Linked DNA regions of Tamandua tetradactyla. The protein of the gene in region 2 purifies or fractionates together with the protein of the main gene of each other region. This does not show direct contact. Links are inferred from orthologs where the notes say so. Each region holds a gene or a part of one and is shown on either strand. Other genes may lie near its edges.

Region 1 (7,029 bases), on a different chromosome or scaffold from region 2:
GCCCACTGTGGCGGCAGTCCGCGTGTCCTCAGGAGCCACCTCACTTGCAAAACACAGCGTTCTTTTGGGAGTACAGGAAGAACCCCACGATCCTTCTGCCCTCATGAAGCCCTGCAACCTAGTGCGTGTCCGGGAAAACAGTGACCTTGAACCCGAGGAGGGGTGGGCGCGCTGTTAAAATCCACTTTTAGAAAAGGACTGACGGATCACTCCGCGCTTCACCTTATCTTTCTATCCTGCTACACCCTCTCCTGCGCCAGACTCACCCATCCCCACCCAGAACTACAGCCTCCCCGACGGCTCTGAAATCAGTAGCCAGTTGCAAAGCAAAGAGGCAAAGAGAAAAGTTTTTCCTGTTCAACTCCAAAAGCTTCCTTTAGTGGTACCGTGTGTTTTCTATTAAGAGCCAGCACTCCAAAAGATATGAGCTGGAGTTTTTTAAAGTGTCATAAATTTTCAACTCTGGCAGTTTGCAGTGCTCCCTGAAATCATCGTCCACTCATGTATCTCGTTCCCCGTCCCCGCCCCTCCAAATGGATCAGGAGCCAGCCCAGAAAAGGTAAATCAAGTAACTGGATTATCCACCAGCTTAAGCCCGGGTTCTGGGCGGTCTCCTTTGGAGACTGCGGGCCTGAGAAGCGTGGACTGTTAGCCACATGGCGACCCGGCTGAAGGGCCCTGTGAGGCTGCGGGGAACTGCACTCTGTGGGGCCAAGACGGGACACGCCAAATAAGGAGTCCTACTGACTGAGTCTGGGGTGCGAAATGCAATTTGCCTTAAATAGGGCCAAGACAGGTTATCTCAATCACATTGGGGGCCTTCACTCCAGTTCTCCGCGAAACGTTCGCGATTTTTGAATTCCTTTCTTCAATACCTTCCCCCCCCCCCCCCCCCCCTTTTCCAAAGGCGCGAAGTTCTCTGTCGGTCTCAAGCAGGGCTTACAGCCCTCAGGGTACCCCTTGCCTCCAAGTAAAAGGCCGGACTGTGGCTACCACCGGAGTGCTAGCTGCCGGGTACGAGAATGCTGTCTGCAGTTCTGAGCTGCACCCTCCTGCCAGAGGCACACGGGTCACTGCAGGCCTCGAGAGGGCTGCGAGGTGAAGGGGGCTCGTGCACTGGGGCCGACAAAGGTCCCAGCGGCGGACGCTGGGGAAGCTTTGTGTGTAACTGCAGCCGTCGTGAGTGCAGTCTTCGCACCGCCTCCTTGATGAGGTTGCCTGAGAGCACAAGCTGCTGCAGGAGACTATGCGGGTCGTCATCGCCTGTGCCGGCTTCGGGTTGGGGGCCGCGTCTTTGCTGGAGGCGGCGGGATGCGGCGGCGCCTCGGAGCCATCCTCGCCGGCACGGGCCCGACAGCGTCTGCGGAGCACTCCCCTTGCTCGCTCCGGTTGGTCCATCAAGGCCAGGCTGGAAGGGTAATGGGGCCAGTGCGCTGGGACCCACCGCGAGCTCCGCCACGCAGTAGGGCGCAGTCCGACCTCGCACGCGGCCGCGGTCCCCTACAGCGCAGCGCAGGGCCCCGGGGGGCGCCAGGCCCGTGGCCTCCGCGGACGCGAGTGGCAGAAGCAGCGGCAAGGTGGGGGGCCGCGGGGGGTGCAGCGGCGGCCCCGGGGGCGCGCACGGGGAGGCCGGGCTGTCCTGAGCCGCATCCAGCTGCAGCGCCTCGCCGATCTGGGCCACCAGCCGGTCCACCTCGCCCGAGCCGCCCAGCGTCACCGACTGCTCCAGCAGGAGGAAGCTGTCCTCCTCCTCCTCCTCCTCCTCCCCCTCTGCTTCCTCGCCGGCTTCCTCTTCCTCCTCCCTCCGGCACGGCATGGCCTCCCGCCCGGGCACCGCGGAGCTCTGCGGGCGTCGCTGGCTGCTTGACCCTCCTTGGGGCTAGGTGGGCCGCAGTAGAGGGGCGGTCCTGAGACCCAAGCCCCGGCCGGAGCCGATGCGGAAACCGGAGACCGCCGGGCAGTAGAGCCGCGCGCTAGTAGCGGCGGGAGCCGAATCCTACCGGCTCGGGTTGATTTGTAAACAATGGGTGACGTCGGCGCCGGGTCCTACCACCGCGTCGGGGCTGGGGGGTGCTGCGCCAGTTGAGGGGCGGGTTCCCCCCACGGCGGGCGTCCACCGGGAAGTCTTGCTGCTTCTGCGTTCCCGACCACTGAGGGCTCTGAGTCGCGGCGCACCGGGGAGCTGTTCCTTATTCCCTCAGCCCAAGTGATGAGTATTTTCAAAACATGGACACCAGCCCGGACTCTGTTGGTTTCTTCCACACACAGGCACGCACACTTACACCCGCACACTTACACAGCCTTCGTCTCAGCGCGCCGGCTCTTCTGGTTTCAGCTTGCAGCTCTGGAGATCCGGATTGGAGGTGTCTGGGGAGTGGCGGCGTGGAGTGCTGGGGAGGAGAGGATGGAGAGGAGAGGGAGTCAGCCTAGGGGCCCGACTGGAGGTGAGGAAACCCGAAGTTGACCGGGATGGAGCGAAAGAAGCGATATTGTGGTGTGAGTGGGAGAGGCGGAGTTGGAGATGGCAAAGAAAGGACACAGATAAATGGTTTTTCTTCTCAGGAGGCTGGGTGTGGGGGTCCTGGTCTAGGGCTGGCCTAACTGGAGAGAGGAGGTGTGAGCTGGGAGGGTGTGTTAGCTGGAATGCCTCAGCCCAGTAGGGGAGAAGCAGAAAACGATCCTTTAGCCTCACGTTGCCGGGAGGCTTTGGACATTTATTTAAAAATCCTAAACCCCGCAGGTTTAACCTATAAACACCCAACTTGAGGTAGACTTTTTTTTTTTAAGACAAATTATTGAGGGATATTATCAGGGTGATGGAAATATTCTTAAATTGGATTATGATGGTGGTTGCCAAATTCAGTAAATGTACAAAAAATCGTTGAATGTACATTTAAAATGAGTGAATTTTATGATATGTTAATCAATAAGTTGTTTCAAAAATTAGCCACAAAAGACACACAGACACAAACACACAGAAACTAACTAGGAGTTTGGCAGTGGGAAGCCTACTTTAAAGTATTGAGCAGGAGAGTGTCAAGATTTAAAAAGAGGGGTGCAAAAGGAAGAGACTGAGCCTGGGGATACAGTTAAGAAAACAAGGGTTTTGGTGGATGGTGCTGAGGATGACAATTACAGGAGCAATTTTTAAAAATGGGTGGGTGGGGAGGAGAGAAGAGGTAGAAGAATTGGCTTTAAAAGAACTAGGTTTAGTTTTGTCAAGTGCAGAGGGATGTGGAAATAGAGTAAGAGGCAGTATGAAGAAAGCCATTGAATTTCTAAAGCCAGATAATCTGGCTTCTTCAGAGTGTCATAAAATTTTTCCTCTCACTTTAGTGGGTTCCTTAGGATTTTCTGTATACAAGATCATGCCATCTGCACTAGAGTTGGTTTTACATCTCCCTTTCCAATCTGGATGCCTTTTATTTTTCTTGCCTAATTGCCCTGGCTAGAACCCCTAGAACGATGTTGAATAGAAGTGATCAGAGTGGACATTCTTGTCTGGTTCCTGATTGTTAGGGGAAAGCATTCATTCTTTCACCATTAAGTATATTAGCTGTGGGTTTTTCTTGAATGATCTCTATCAGGTTGAAGAAGTTCCCTTCTGTGCTGTTTTGAAGCTGTTGTGTACCCCAGAAAAGGCCATGTTTTTTTTAACCCATTCCTGTGGGTGCTAGACCTATTGTGGGTCAGAACTTTTGGTTAGGTTATTTCAATTGAGATGTGACCCAGCCCATTCAAGGTGGTCTTCATCCTTTTACTGGAGTCCTTTGTGAGAGGACAAAAGACAGAAAAAGCCCAGAGAGCTCCTAGAGAAACACCAAGAGAGCTCATACAGAAAAGCCCCAGAGAAACTCAGAGATAACCTGCAGAAGCTCAGAGAGGAGGCCACTGGAACGAGGAGCTGAAAACAACAAAACTCTGGAGCAAAGGACAAGCAGATGCCAGCCAGTGCCTTGCTATCCAACAGAGGAACCCTGAGGCCAGTGGTATTTCTTCAGAGAAGGTATCCTGTTGATGCCTTAATTGGGATATTTTTATGGCCTTAAAACTATTTTGTAAACTAATAAATCCCCATTGTAAAAGCCATAATTTCTGGTGTATTGCATTCTGGCAGCTTTAGAAAACCGAAACACCTTTTATTCCTGCTTTGTTGAGTGTTTTTTTTATCATGAAAGAGTCCTCACCTCATTTTAAATCATAGGTCATTTGAAGGTACAGTAAGACAGCCATTTATTAATTATAATATTCTGAACCTGATTATGTAAAAATTTAAGAAGAAACTAGTTAGTAGCAATTAACAATTTGTGTTTTTATTCTTTGTTTCAAAATTCACAAGCCTCATACTCATACTTTGTCTTGGGGATGAGAAACGGTACAACTACTTTGGAAGAAGATTGGACAGTTTCTTCTGAAAGTAAACATACACCTACCTTATAACACACAATTCCAATCCTAGATATTTTAACAAAGGGAATACAAAATATCGGTCCACATTAAGGCTTATAGGTAGATGATCACTAGCAGCTTTATTCATAAAAGCCAAAAACTGGAAGAAGCCCAAATGTTCATCAATAGATGGATAGAAAATCAAATTATAGGATGCTAACCAAGGAATACTATTCACAAACGAAAAAGAGCTACAGCAACAAAAATGAATCATTTAAACATGGATGAATCTCGAAAACACTATGCTAAGTGAAAGAAGTCAGACAAAAAAGGGCATATACCATGGGGTTTTTTTGTTTGTTTTTTAATCTCTGATCTTATTTATTTGCAACTCTCAGAAAATCTTATTTTTGACTGGACTCAGACTTAGAGGTAGAAGCTCTCAGAGAGGACAGCATCCGTCTCTTGACAATCTGTTCCTGCATTTTTCTTTGGCCTCCTTCATCCTCTTGGCCAAAAGTTCAGCATATTCTGCAGACTCTTCCTTATTGTTCTTAGTATCCTGTTTTTTCAGGGCAATACACTGACGTTTATGTTGTAGGACGGGGTGGAGTAACAAGATGCTGAATCTTGGGTGCTTTGGTCCTGGGTCTCTTACCTTCTTTGTTCAGGGACTTTCTCACTACATACTGGCAGATATCATCTTCTTTAGAGACATTGAAAAGTTTGCGGATTTTTCTGGCTCTTTTGGGCCCCAGGCGACGAGGCACAGTAGTATCAGTCTGTCCAGGAATTTCCTTCTCTCCTTTTGTTACAATAACCAAGTTGAGAACACTCAGATTGGCATCTCCAATGCAACTCTGAACAGATTTGCGCTTTCTTTCTCCAGTTCTTCTTGGTCTATAACAGGAATGCCCCTTACTCAGTAAAAGGCGGACACAACCATGGGTCAAGACACCCTGCTTCATGGGGAAATCTTGTTTGTCATTTCCACCAGTGATTCGATGACATAACCCTTCCACTCATCACCCAGAGGGTCAGCAGCAACTTCTGTGGCCATTCACTTCTCATAAAAGGTGTGGAGTTGGTGTTCATTGTCCACTTCAGTGAGCTTCTGGTAGCCAGTGGTTGGCAAGGAGATGCTCAACTTCATACTGAGGCAACCAATTGCCTCCGAGGCACCACAAAAAAGAGACCAACATGTTGTTTTTAGTTGTATAGATGCTAAAGCAAATACCGTAAATGGGTTGACTTAAATACTGGGCATTTATTGGCTCACAGTTTTGTGGCTAGGAAAAGTCCAAAATTGAAGTGTTAGGTGATACTTTCTACCAGAAGATGGTGGCATTCTGGAGCTGACAGTGGGCGATCTTTGGTTCTTAACTTTTGGGCACGTGGCACTGCACATGGCAGTGTTTTGTGTCTCTTCCTGGTTCTGTTGACTTTCAGCTTCTGGCTACTCCCTGTGGCTTCTGTCTGTCTAACTTTCACTCTGTTTATAAAGGACTCCAATAATCCAGATTAAAGTACAACCTGATTCAGGTAGGCCATAGTTTAACTGAAACAACATCTTTTTTTTTTAATTTTATTTACAATGGGTCTACACCCACCAGAATGAGAACCAAGACCAAGAGCATGTCCCAGCTGAAGCATACGATTCAGTCCTTCACACACGTGATTCTTTATTTTAATTTTATTTATTTATTTATTTATTTAACATGGGCAGGCACCGGGAATCGAACCTGGGTCCTCTGGCATGGCAGGCCTGCTGAGCCACTGTGGCCCACCCCACATGATTCTTTATATATGAAGTTCTAGAACAGGGCAAACTAGTTTTTGGTGGAAAAATCAGAAGACTTGATTGTCTTTGGAGAAGGTGGGGGCAGGAGCAGGGGCAGCGACTGGCTGGGAAGAGGCCTGAGGGGACTTGAGGTGGTCCTGATAATACTCTTTATCTTGATAGGGATTAGGGATTCACAGGTGTATGCATGTGCCAAAACTCATTGACTGGTACACTCACGATTTCATTACATATAAATTTTATATGAAAAGAAAAAACTATAAACAGATACTGAATTCTAGTTAATAATAGACATGAGAAATTTAGTGGTGAGATACTGTGCATTTTTTTGAGTGTGATTACATATAATGACTTTATTTGAAGAGGACTGTTCACCAAGATATTAAGTTAGGTACTATATAAGTACCCAAAAATGAAGGTAGATCAATGTATGGACAGAAGCATGGTTAGATGGGTAGATATATGATAGAGCAAGTGTAATAAAATGTTAATATTAGTATATAATACAGCAGTTCCACTCCTAGGTATATCTTCAAGAGATTTGAAAATATATGTCTGTACAAGCTTGTACATAAATGTCAACCAGCAGCATTACTTGTAACAGCCCCAAAATAGAAATGAACAATTGGAATACCCAGCAACTAATGAATATATAAAGAAAATGTGATCTATCCATACAGTGAAATATTATTCTTCAAGAAGAATGAAGTACTGATACATGCTACAACATGAACAAACCTTGAAAACGTTATGCTAAGTAAAAGAAGCCAGACATTAAAGGCCACATGCTGTATGATTCAATTTATTTGAAATGCCTAGAATAGGCAAATCCATAAAGA
Region 2 (8,086 bases):
ATGGATGTTATCTTTGGCCTAATTTTAAATTTTTTTCAATTTATTGCTGACATTTAAAACTCAAAAGACTTTACATTAAAAAACAAACAAACAAACAAAAACACCTTCTCTTGAAAAATGGGATCTGGTCCCATAGGGTTTGCCTCCCTGCATTAGCTCAAGCAACAGGAGACAAATAGTGACCATCCGATTCACTCTGGTTCCCACCACTCCCTATTGCTTCCCATGGAGGCTTCTGGGGCTTTGAACCCTTTGCTTGTATCTGACTCCAGGCTTCTAATCCTTACCTTCTCAAAGGAGCCCAAGCCTTAGACTCCTCCCAGGAGACCTGGTCTGAGCTTCTTCCTCCCCTCTATTCCCTTGGGGGTGGGGTGTGTGTGCTAAGAACCCCTGACCCCCTCATTCTAGGATTCAACTCTAATGAAGTTCTGGCTGACACCTGGAACTCCTCCTGCCCAAGAATTCTCACTACTAAGACCCAGGCCCTGACCTGGGTCCACTTCCAGGCTAGACTCACTTCTCCTATATCCAGACTAGCTTAGATTCCAAAATGCCAGTACTTCAAATAGCCCTCATCCCTGACTTCCATCTCTTCCATGTTCTTCTAGTTCCCTGGGTCTCCACTAGCTCATAGAACATCTTTGTATGAATGACAAAAGGGTATCCCTTTCTCAAGGTGACAGAGACCTGCACCGAAGCGCATGGTTTGTGAGTAGGGGGCAGAGAACTAGATTTCACCCTATATCGCCAAACAACCTGGGGCAGAGCGCAGCCTTCAGGATCTTCATAAACATCAGCAACAGCCCTGCCAATTTCCTTTCTCTGTCGGCTGGGAGGGGGATGTTATCTAGTGGTTAGGATGCAGGGCTTGGGAATCACAGGCCATGTTCTAGTTTTGACCTCAGGCAATTCTCTTATCTGAGTCTCAATTTCCTCTTACTTAGAATAGGAGTAACTATATAGTACCAAACCTTAATCCTTAGAGAATTTTTATGTAAATTAAACAAGAGACCCTGTAAAGCAGAATGAAAGAATGAAACTGCGCTTTGGACTCTTTTTGGACTCCTGGATCCCACTTTTTTCTCTTCTACACATTTCATTTCCTTCCCTTCTCTGGGCCATGCTCAGAGCCCCCTCTGAAATCCCAAGCTCTCAGCTATCATGCTGGGGCTCTCTCACCAGTAATGCCCAGTCCCCAAACTTCCTTGTCCCCAAACCTCCTTGTCCCCATTTCCCCCAAGTTACCTTGAACCTTTTGTCCTGGAGAACCTTCTTGATGGCCACCAGCTCCCCAGTCTCAGCCAGCCGTGCCTGGTACACGACCCCAAAGGAGCCATTGCCAATCACTTTGATGTCTGTGTAAGCCACCTCCTGGGAGCACTCTGGGCCCTGGCCTAGGGTGGCTACCACTGTGGTCACCTTCCCGCTGTCACCTGGGGGACAAAAGGGACACACAATTGACTAACCTTTCCCCTCTGAACATTAACCACCACCACCACCACCACCCCCCAGAGCTTTGAGGGGAGAGGGGAAAAGAGATCTGTGTGTGACCTCTGTCCCTTCTCTCTCCGTGAGAAAGGTGGATGCTGGAGCTCTCCCAGTGACCTTTCCCCTCTCCCCTTCATGTAAACCTTAATTCTGCCTCCTCCTGTACATGAAGATATTGACACCTAAACTGTTTTGCAGTTCAAGGACTAGTTAACCCCAATTTCCAGTAAGCCACAAATCACTGGTCTTACTATGGGGAGACACTGACACACACACAGACATACACACAGAGACACACAGAGACACACACACGTTGAATCTATCCACTCTGGGCTTACTGATCTTTGGCCCCTCCTGTCTGGGGAGAAGCCTGACCTAACCTCTTCCACTTAAGGGAACAGTAACCTTGAGCCCTGAGCTACTCCTACTCTGGGAAAGCACTAACCTTTGGTTTCTCAGTTTGGCAAATAGTGACCTTTAAGTCCTACTGGGTAGAGCAGGTAACTTCACCACTGGTTCTTGATGACTGAATAAATGAACTCTTCTAACATGAATGGTAATGCCCTGACCTCACTTTTTGGAAAGTTACCCCTTATTCAAATACTTTCATGTTAGAAAACGCACTGATCTGACCTCCTCATCTGGGTGGTTCACAGTCCCACAATCCTCACTGTATGGATGGTCCCTAACCAAGAAGCATCATATTGTTAGAATAGTGAACCTAATCTCTACTCTTAGAAGGCTATCCTTAAACTCTGATTCCCAAATTCTATTCTCTTAAGGCAGCAAACCTTCATGCCATTGCTAGGAGATGGTCACTGCTTTTCTTGGATGAAGCTGCTGACCCTAATTCACTTTGAAGGGCCATCACACTTTCTTTTGGAAGATGACCCTACATTGTGATTTATTTCAAAATCAATGACACATGCCCCAAAATAATTATTGAAACTTATAACCTCTGGTCCATACTCTATGGGGGAATTGTGTCCCTTCATTCCATTTTTGTGGAGACCCACCATTTTTTTTTTTTTGAAGAGCAGTGACTATGGACTTGAAGGATACAGTAACTCTTAATCCCACTTCTGGAGGACTGGTGACACTTGTCCTTATTTCTAAGAAACAGTAACCATTAATTTCCACCATTGGCGGTACAGTTCTACAAACTGTGAAAGAGCAATGGCAACAGACCTTGTATTTTAAAAGAGAAGACAACCAGGACACCAAGTTTGAAAAACTCTGTCTTATTATTTGGGGACACAATAATCCCAAATCCCTGTTTCTAAGTGGTGTTGACTCTTCTCTGAGGGAGAGCAAATTCTGAGACCCCTTTGTGGAAGGGGGTGGTGATCTTAATCTTGTTTTTGTAAGAGGACAGTATAACAATGAATTTGTTCTCTAGGGGATGGAATGTCAGATTCCTGTTTTTAAGGCTCAAGAGATCAAGATCTAAGTTTTGGAAAAACAAGAACCTGTGACTCCTTATTTCTTTGAGGGTTAGTAATTGTGATCCTAAACTCCAAGCGATGGTACCCCCCTAAACGCATTCCTCCGGAAGGGAGCAAGCTCACACACCAATTTGGGGAGGCACAGTGACCTCAGGTTCCTATCTGGGTGTACGAAAAGAACTGATCGACATTTGAGGGGCCTCGGGAACCCGTATCTCCACCCGCCAAGGGCGCCGTCAGTACTCACGGCCCAGCTTCACTCCAGGCGGCGGGAAGGTGGTGCCCGCGCCGGGGCCGCCGCTGCTTGTTCCGCCGCTGCCGCTGGGGCCACCCCCGGAGCTCGTGGGCCCCACGCCCCCACCCATGGCCCCGACCGACGCCTTCCCGCCGCCGCTGCCACCCGGGCCGGAGGCCGAACCCCCGGGGCCGCCGCCGCCACCTCCGCCGCCACCACCCGGCTCCGCGAACGAACTGGTTCGCGCCCGGCCCGAGCCCCCGGGGCCGCCCCCCGAAGGCGCGCCGCCGCTCATGGCGCCGAGAGCAGGCCCAGGCTGAGGGGCTCGGGCTGCCCGGGCTGCCCCCGACGCCGCCGCTGCTGCCGCCTCCCCCGGGCTCCGGCCTCCTCCAGGCCTCGCCGCTCGGGCTCGGGCTCCGGCTCCAGCCCAGCGCCCGCCGCGGGGCACGCCGGGAGCTGCAGTCCGCCTCTCCGGCGCGCAGTCGTCACCGCCCTCGGCCTGCGGGCGGTAGAGCGAGTCGCTTGGCACGCCGGGAAATGGAGTCCTGGGTACTCCGTCGGCCGACTGTGCCGACGGCCGACCCTACAGCACTTTGGGAAACAGAGTCTGAGCGGCACACTCACTCCACCACGGCAAGGCGTTTCGGAGGTGTGCCTCAGAAATATAGTTGCAACCGCTCCATCAGGGAGCGACATAAACCTCTTGCGTAACCGGAAGTGAAGTCCAGCCTCTTAGTCCGTTGGGCATACATGCCTGCCCGCGTTAGGTGCACTCTAGGAAATTACGCCCGTTGGCTCACAAAAATCCGCCGTGTGGCAAGCTGGGAAATGGAGTCGTTGCCACACCCCCACTGCAATGCGGGTGTAAAGCGGTTCCAAGGCACTCCGGGAGATGGAGTCCCACGTGGTCCATGAGCCTCCAGTGGCTACTGCAGTTCCGGAGATAGGCTAGAAAATGAAATAGCTATGGCTCGCCTCTACTCCATACGCTCGGCCGCAGTTCCTACCGGGAAATGTAGTTGACACCAAGGCTTCAGCGATGTGTCTACAGCGAGCCTTTGCGGCTTCTGGGAAATGGAGTTCAAGGCTGCCTCCCCATCGACCGAGGGGGTAGGGGTTTACCATGAGCCCAAAGCATGCTGGGACTAGTCCAGCCCGGATCCTGACCTGCGGTGAAACGAGACTGCCTGGGCTTGTCGGGAAATGGAGTCCAATGAATACCACCAGGAGTGTGTGGGCAAAAAAAACAAAGCAAACAAACAGAACCCCCTGGGAAATCGTAGACCTGTTTCAGCCTTCTTCCCCAACCCCCAGATACTAAGACATGTAATTCCCAGGGGCTGCTGGAAAATGTAGTCCAGCACTCCTTCAAGTTCTAGATGTCTACATTCCGGGAAGAAAAAGAAAAATGCGCCTCCCACCCAAAGAATCTAGGAAATTAAGTTCCCAACGATGTCTCAGAATACTACACAATCTCCGTATATACGCTAGCACTTTCTAGCAATGTGGATCATACTAGGAGTCTAAGCTGAAAGCTAAAAGAGACTGTGTCTTCCGCTTCCTACATTACGGAATCCGGGAGGGCTCAAGACAAGGAAGCCGGTTGGAAGAAGCAGCATCAAGCTTTGTGCATTCATTGAATTACCCGATTTATCGATTAATACCAGGAAGGAGAATGTTCCAAAGGACGCTGGGAAACAGAGTTTTTGTGTCTCCTTCCCACCCCGCCTCCGGAAACACTTGAGATGAACACGCTCTCAGCCCCTCCCGCCTCGTGAAATGGTGGGAAAGAGCCTGGATTTCACTTTAATCTGAGCCTAAGTGTATACAGCCCTGCCCTTTCGGAAGCCGGGAGAAGGTTCCGTCCACTCGATCTATTCCTGAGTGCATTTCCCAGTGGACACAGTTCCCGGGGACAGGACAGGGGGCAGCGCTGGAGCCGTTTCGAACTACATTATCCAGAAGGCAAAGTACGGCCACAGTTCCGCTCTTTCTCACTGCTTGCGACTTTATCACGCACAGCTCGGAGCAATTTTTTCTGGGAGTTATAGTTTCCCAGCCAAGCAGCGCCTGCTGCCCTCTGACGGCAGCTCTGAGTCGAAAAGCAAAAATGTGAACCAAGCCCGAGGGCTTGGGGAACGCGAACCTGCGCGCCCACAAGGCCGATGGCCCGAACGAGGCAGGGTAAAGACTGTTACTTAACGGCCAGAATCCGCGGGAAGTGCGTAGTGGGCCGCGCGTGGGCAACCGCCACCGAAGAGCCTGGGGTCCGCGAGAGTCTCAGGGCGACTGTAGGAAGAAATCTATCAGGCCATTCATAGGGGCTGAGAACGTTCAAAGAAGGGTACTAAGATAGGCTGTAAATGTTTGTGAGTAGCCTGAAGGTGCCTAGAGAGGTGACAGGGTCTTTGATGGGACTTTCTACTTGGAAGCAGAGATCTTGGAAGACATGGAAGGGACCAAGGGTGTGGTCTCACAGGAACTTAGCTTTTCAGGCCTGCAAATGAATTTAAGTGGGTCATTAAAGATTGGGGTTGCCGCTGGAATTTTGAGGCCAGGTGCCAGACAGTGTGGCATCCCACTCAGCCGGAATCTGGAGCAATAAGTCTAGTTGGACCCTGGCCTGAACAGGAGAGCAATTCTGGAGATGAGGACTTTTGAATCCATGTTAGACTTGGTTAGAGTTGTTTTGAAGGCACCTGGTCTGGAGGCTGAAGCTACTAGTCAGGGTCCTATCCTTCCCCCCAATTATGCCATGCCCCTTTCTCCATCACCCACCACCACCAACTTCTCAGCTGCATCTGTGTTGCCAGGAGACATACCTCAGCCCAACTTCCAGAAATAGCCCAGCGAAGCTGCTCCCAGTGGTCCCCACCCCAGGGAGTGACTTACATCACCCAGGAGAGGGAGCAGTTGCCTGCAGGCCACCACGGGAGCCTAGGTTTCCTGCCAGTATCCCAGCCCTGGATCCTCTCTTCATTGCCATCCATGATCTGGGACCACCCACCCTGGGCTGGCAGTAGATGAGGTCAAAGCAAGAGTGGGTAGCAGTTACCCAGCCAATGTTCTTTCTCCCTCAGGGTTACACAGGGTGGGATTTCATGGTGAAACCAATCCAGCAGCCCCTGAGCCCTACCTTCTTTTAGCAGGTGTGTGGCTTTAGGGAAATCCCTTCCCCCTCTCAGCCTCAGGCACCTCACCTCCACTACAGAGGTCAGGCTCTTCTCTAAGGGCACTTCCGGCCTGAATTCCTCACTCTCATTCTCTTAGCCATTATCAGAGAACTCCAATCTCTGTTTCTAGTTTCACAAGCTCACCTCTCAGATCCTGTGATGGAGTCCCTGATCTTGGGCCAACCATTTTAGCTTCAGGGAGCACTCCATTGTCAAAAGAACTTGGAGTTTGTACACAGAAGTCCTGGCTCAACTTCCTACAGCCTCATGGCCTCGAGCGTGTCAGTCGTTTTAACTGTGCCCATCGTCCCTACCTCACTGGTTGTTGAAGGAGCTTCTAGCTAAGTACTTGGCACAAAGTAGGCCAATCAATGACAACTATAATTATTGAGCCAGTCCCTTCTCAAGTTGCTGGCTTGGGGTGTTCCCATGGTTCCTCAAAGATCATTAGGGTTCCTGGCGAGGTCTACATTTCAAAACACAGTGGGCCATGTCTCCAAAGGACTCCCCAGATTAGTTTAGAAACACCCAGAGGAGGGTGCCGGTGTTAGAATGTGAGAGTGCAAAAAAACCATCTCTGATTCTCTTGGGGAATCGGGATGTGGGAAGGAGTCACAGAACCAGGGAAGGGCATTTCGAGCCATCTAAACTGCCTGGGCAACAGGGTAGAGATGAAGAGTTGAAAGCACTTTCATGGAAGTGCAGGTCCTTTACAGAATGGGGCAGTGGTCAGCTCTAAGGCCAGAGTGTGACCTGAGGTTTATGTAGCCCTGAGGTCAGGAGATTTTTCCCAGGCCGTTTTGACCCAGTCATTTGGGCTCAGACCCTCTGGCCACAGATCTACAGGGGCAGGTAGGGAGGTAGGACCCAGACCAGATCCTTGTCCTTCAGAATCAAGCAAAGGCTGTGCCCCACACTTAAGACAGATGACCGCATCAAAAGGTCCAAAGTTTTATTGTTTGGAATACATTCTCCAGCCGCCCCTCCCTCACTCCCTCCCCACCACCCTCCATGCCCAGTACAGAATAAGGCTTGACCACAGCCCCCACCCCCACCCCACCCGAGGGGCCCCTGCTGGGAGGCAGAGGGGGCTTCCAGTTTGGTTTCAGGGCAGCCCATTCCCACCCCACCCCCACCCACCTGCCCATGGGCCAGTCCTAGGAGCAGCTAAAGGTGAAGGGGTTGGACCGGTGCTGGGTGGGGAATGAGAGAAGGACAGCAGGCACTTGAAGAGATTTGTGGCCCATGGGTGGCACCCCTCACCCTCTTCCACTTCCCACCGCCCACCACGCAGAATTTTTGGTTCATCATAAAATTGTCCCTCCCTCCCCTGCTGTTACCTTGTGGGGTATGAGAAGCCCAGGCACTCACAGCCCCTGGAGGGGCAAGGAAGGCAGGGTTGGGACTGGGAATGGTTGTGGGGCAAGAGGGAGAGGTGCAAGAGGCAGAGGCCAGGGAGGGAGACAAGGCTTTACTTCCTAAGCGATTGTAATAAAAAAGTTCCTGGGTATTGAGACCAGAGCCTCAATTCAAATAAAAATCCCCAGAACGGCAGTGGCCCCCTTAACCTCCCCCCTCCCGTCCTCCTCCCTCCCCCACCTTGCCCAGAGCTTAGAAACCCACAGACAGGGGACAGTCCCCAGTTCTGGGCACCCACCCATCCCGACCATTAAAAAAAAAATTAAAGTTTTATACAAAATATGGGGGGGGGGGCAGGGAGAGGGAGGAGGCAGAGAAGAGGCAGC

What was found. The genes of interacting proteins can lie anywhere in the genome.
Region 1: the proteins of GSK3A (region 2) and FRAT1 purify together in Homo sapiens (affinity purification with mass spectrometry; 4 studies listed by BioGRID and IntAct, with this or other methods). This does not show direct contact. The link is inferred for Tamandua tetradactyla from reciprocal best matches to the Homo sapiens genes GSK3A and FRAT1.

What each region holds. Positions count from the first base shown.
Region 1 is NC_135339.1:58,635,690-58,642,718, reverse strand, and holds FRAT1 (proto-oncogene FRAT1), read right to left. Parts: upstream 2,009-7,029; 5' UTR 1,817-2,008; coding exon 1,004-1,816; 3' UTR 887-1,003; downstream 1-886. UniProt on the Homo sapiens protein: Positively regulates the Wnt signaling pathway by stabilizing beta-catenin through the association with GSK-3. May play a role in tumor progression and collaborate with PIM1 and MYC in lymphomagenesis.
Region 2 is NC_135342.1:21,910,163-21,918,248, forward strand, and holds the start of GSK3A (glycogen synthase kinase-3 alpha), read right to left. Parts: upstream 3,607-8,086; 5' UTR 3,464-3,606; coding exon 3,181-3,463; intron 1,434-3,180; coding exon 1,246-1,433; intron 1-1,245. UniProt on the Homo sapiens protein: Constitutively active protein kinase that acts as a negative regulator in the hormonal control of glucose homeostasis, Wnt signaling and regulation of transcription factors and microtubules, by phosphorylating and inactivating glycogen synthase (GYS1 or GYS2), CTNNB1/beta-catenin, APC and AXIN1.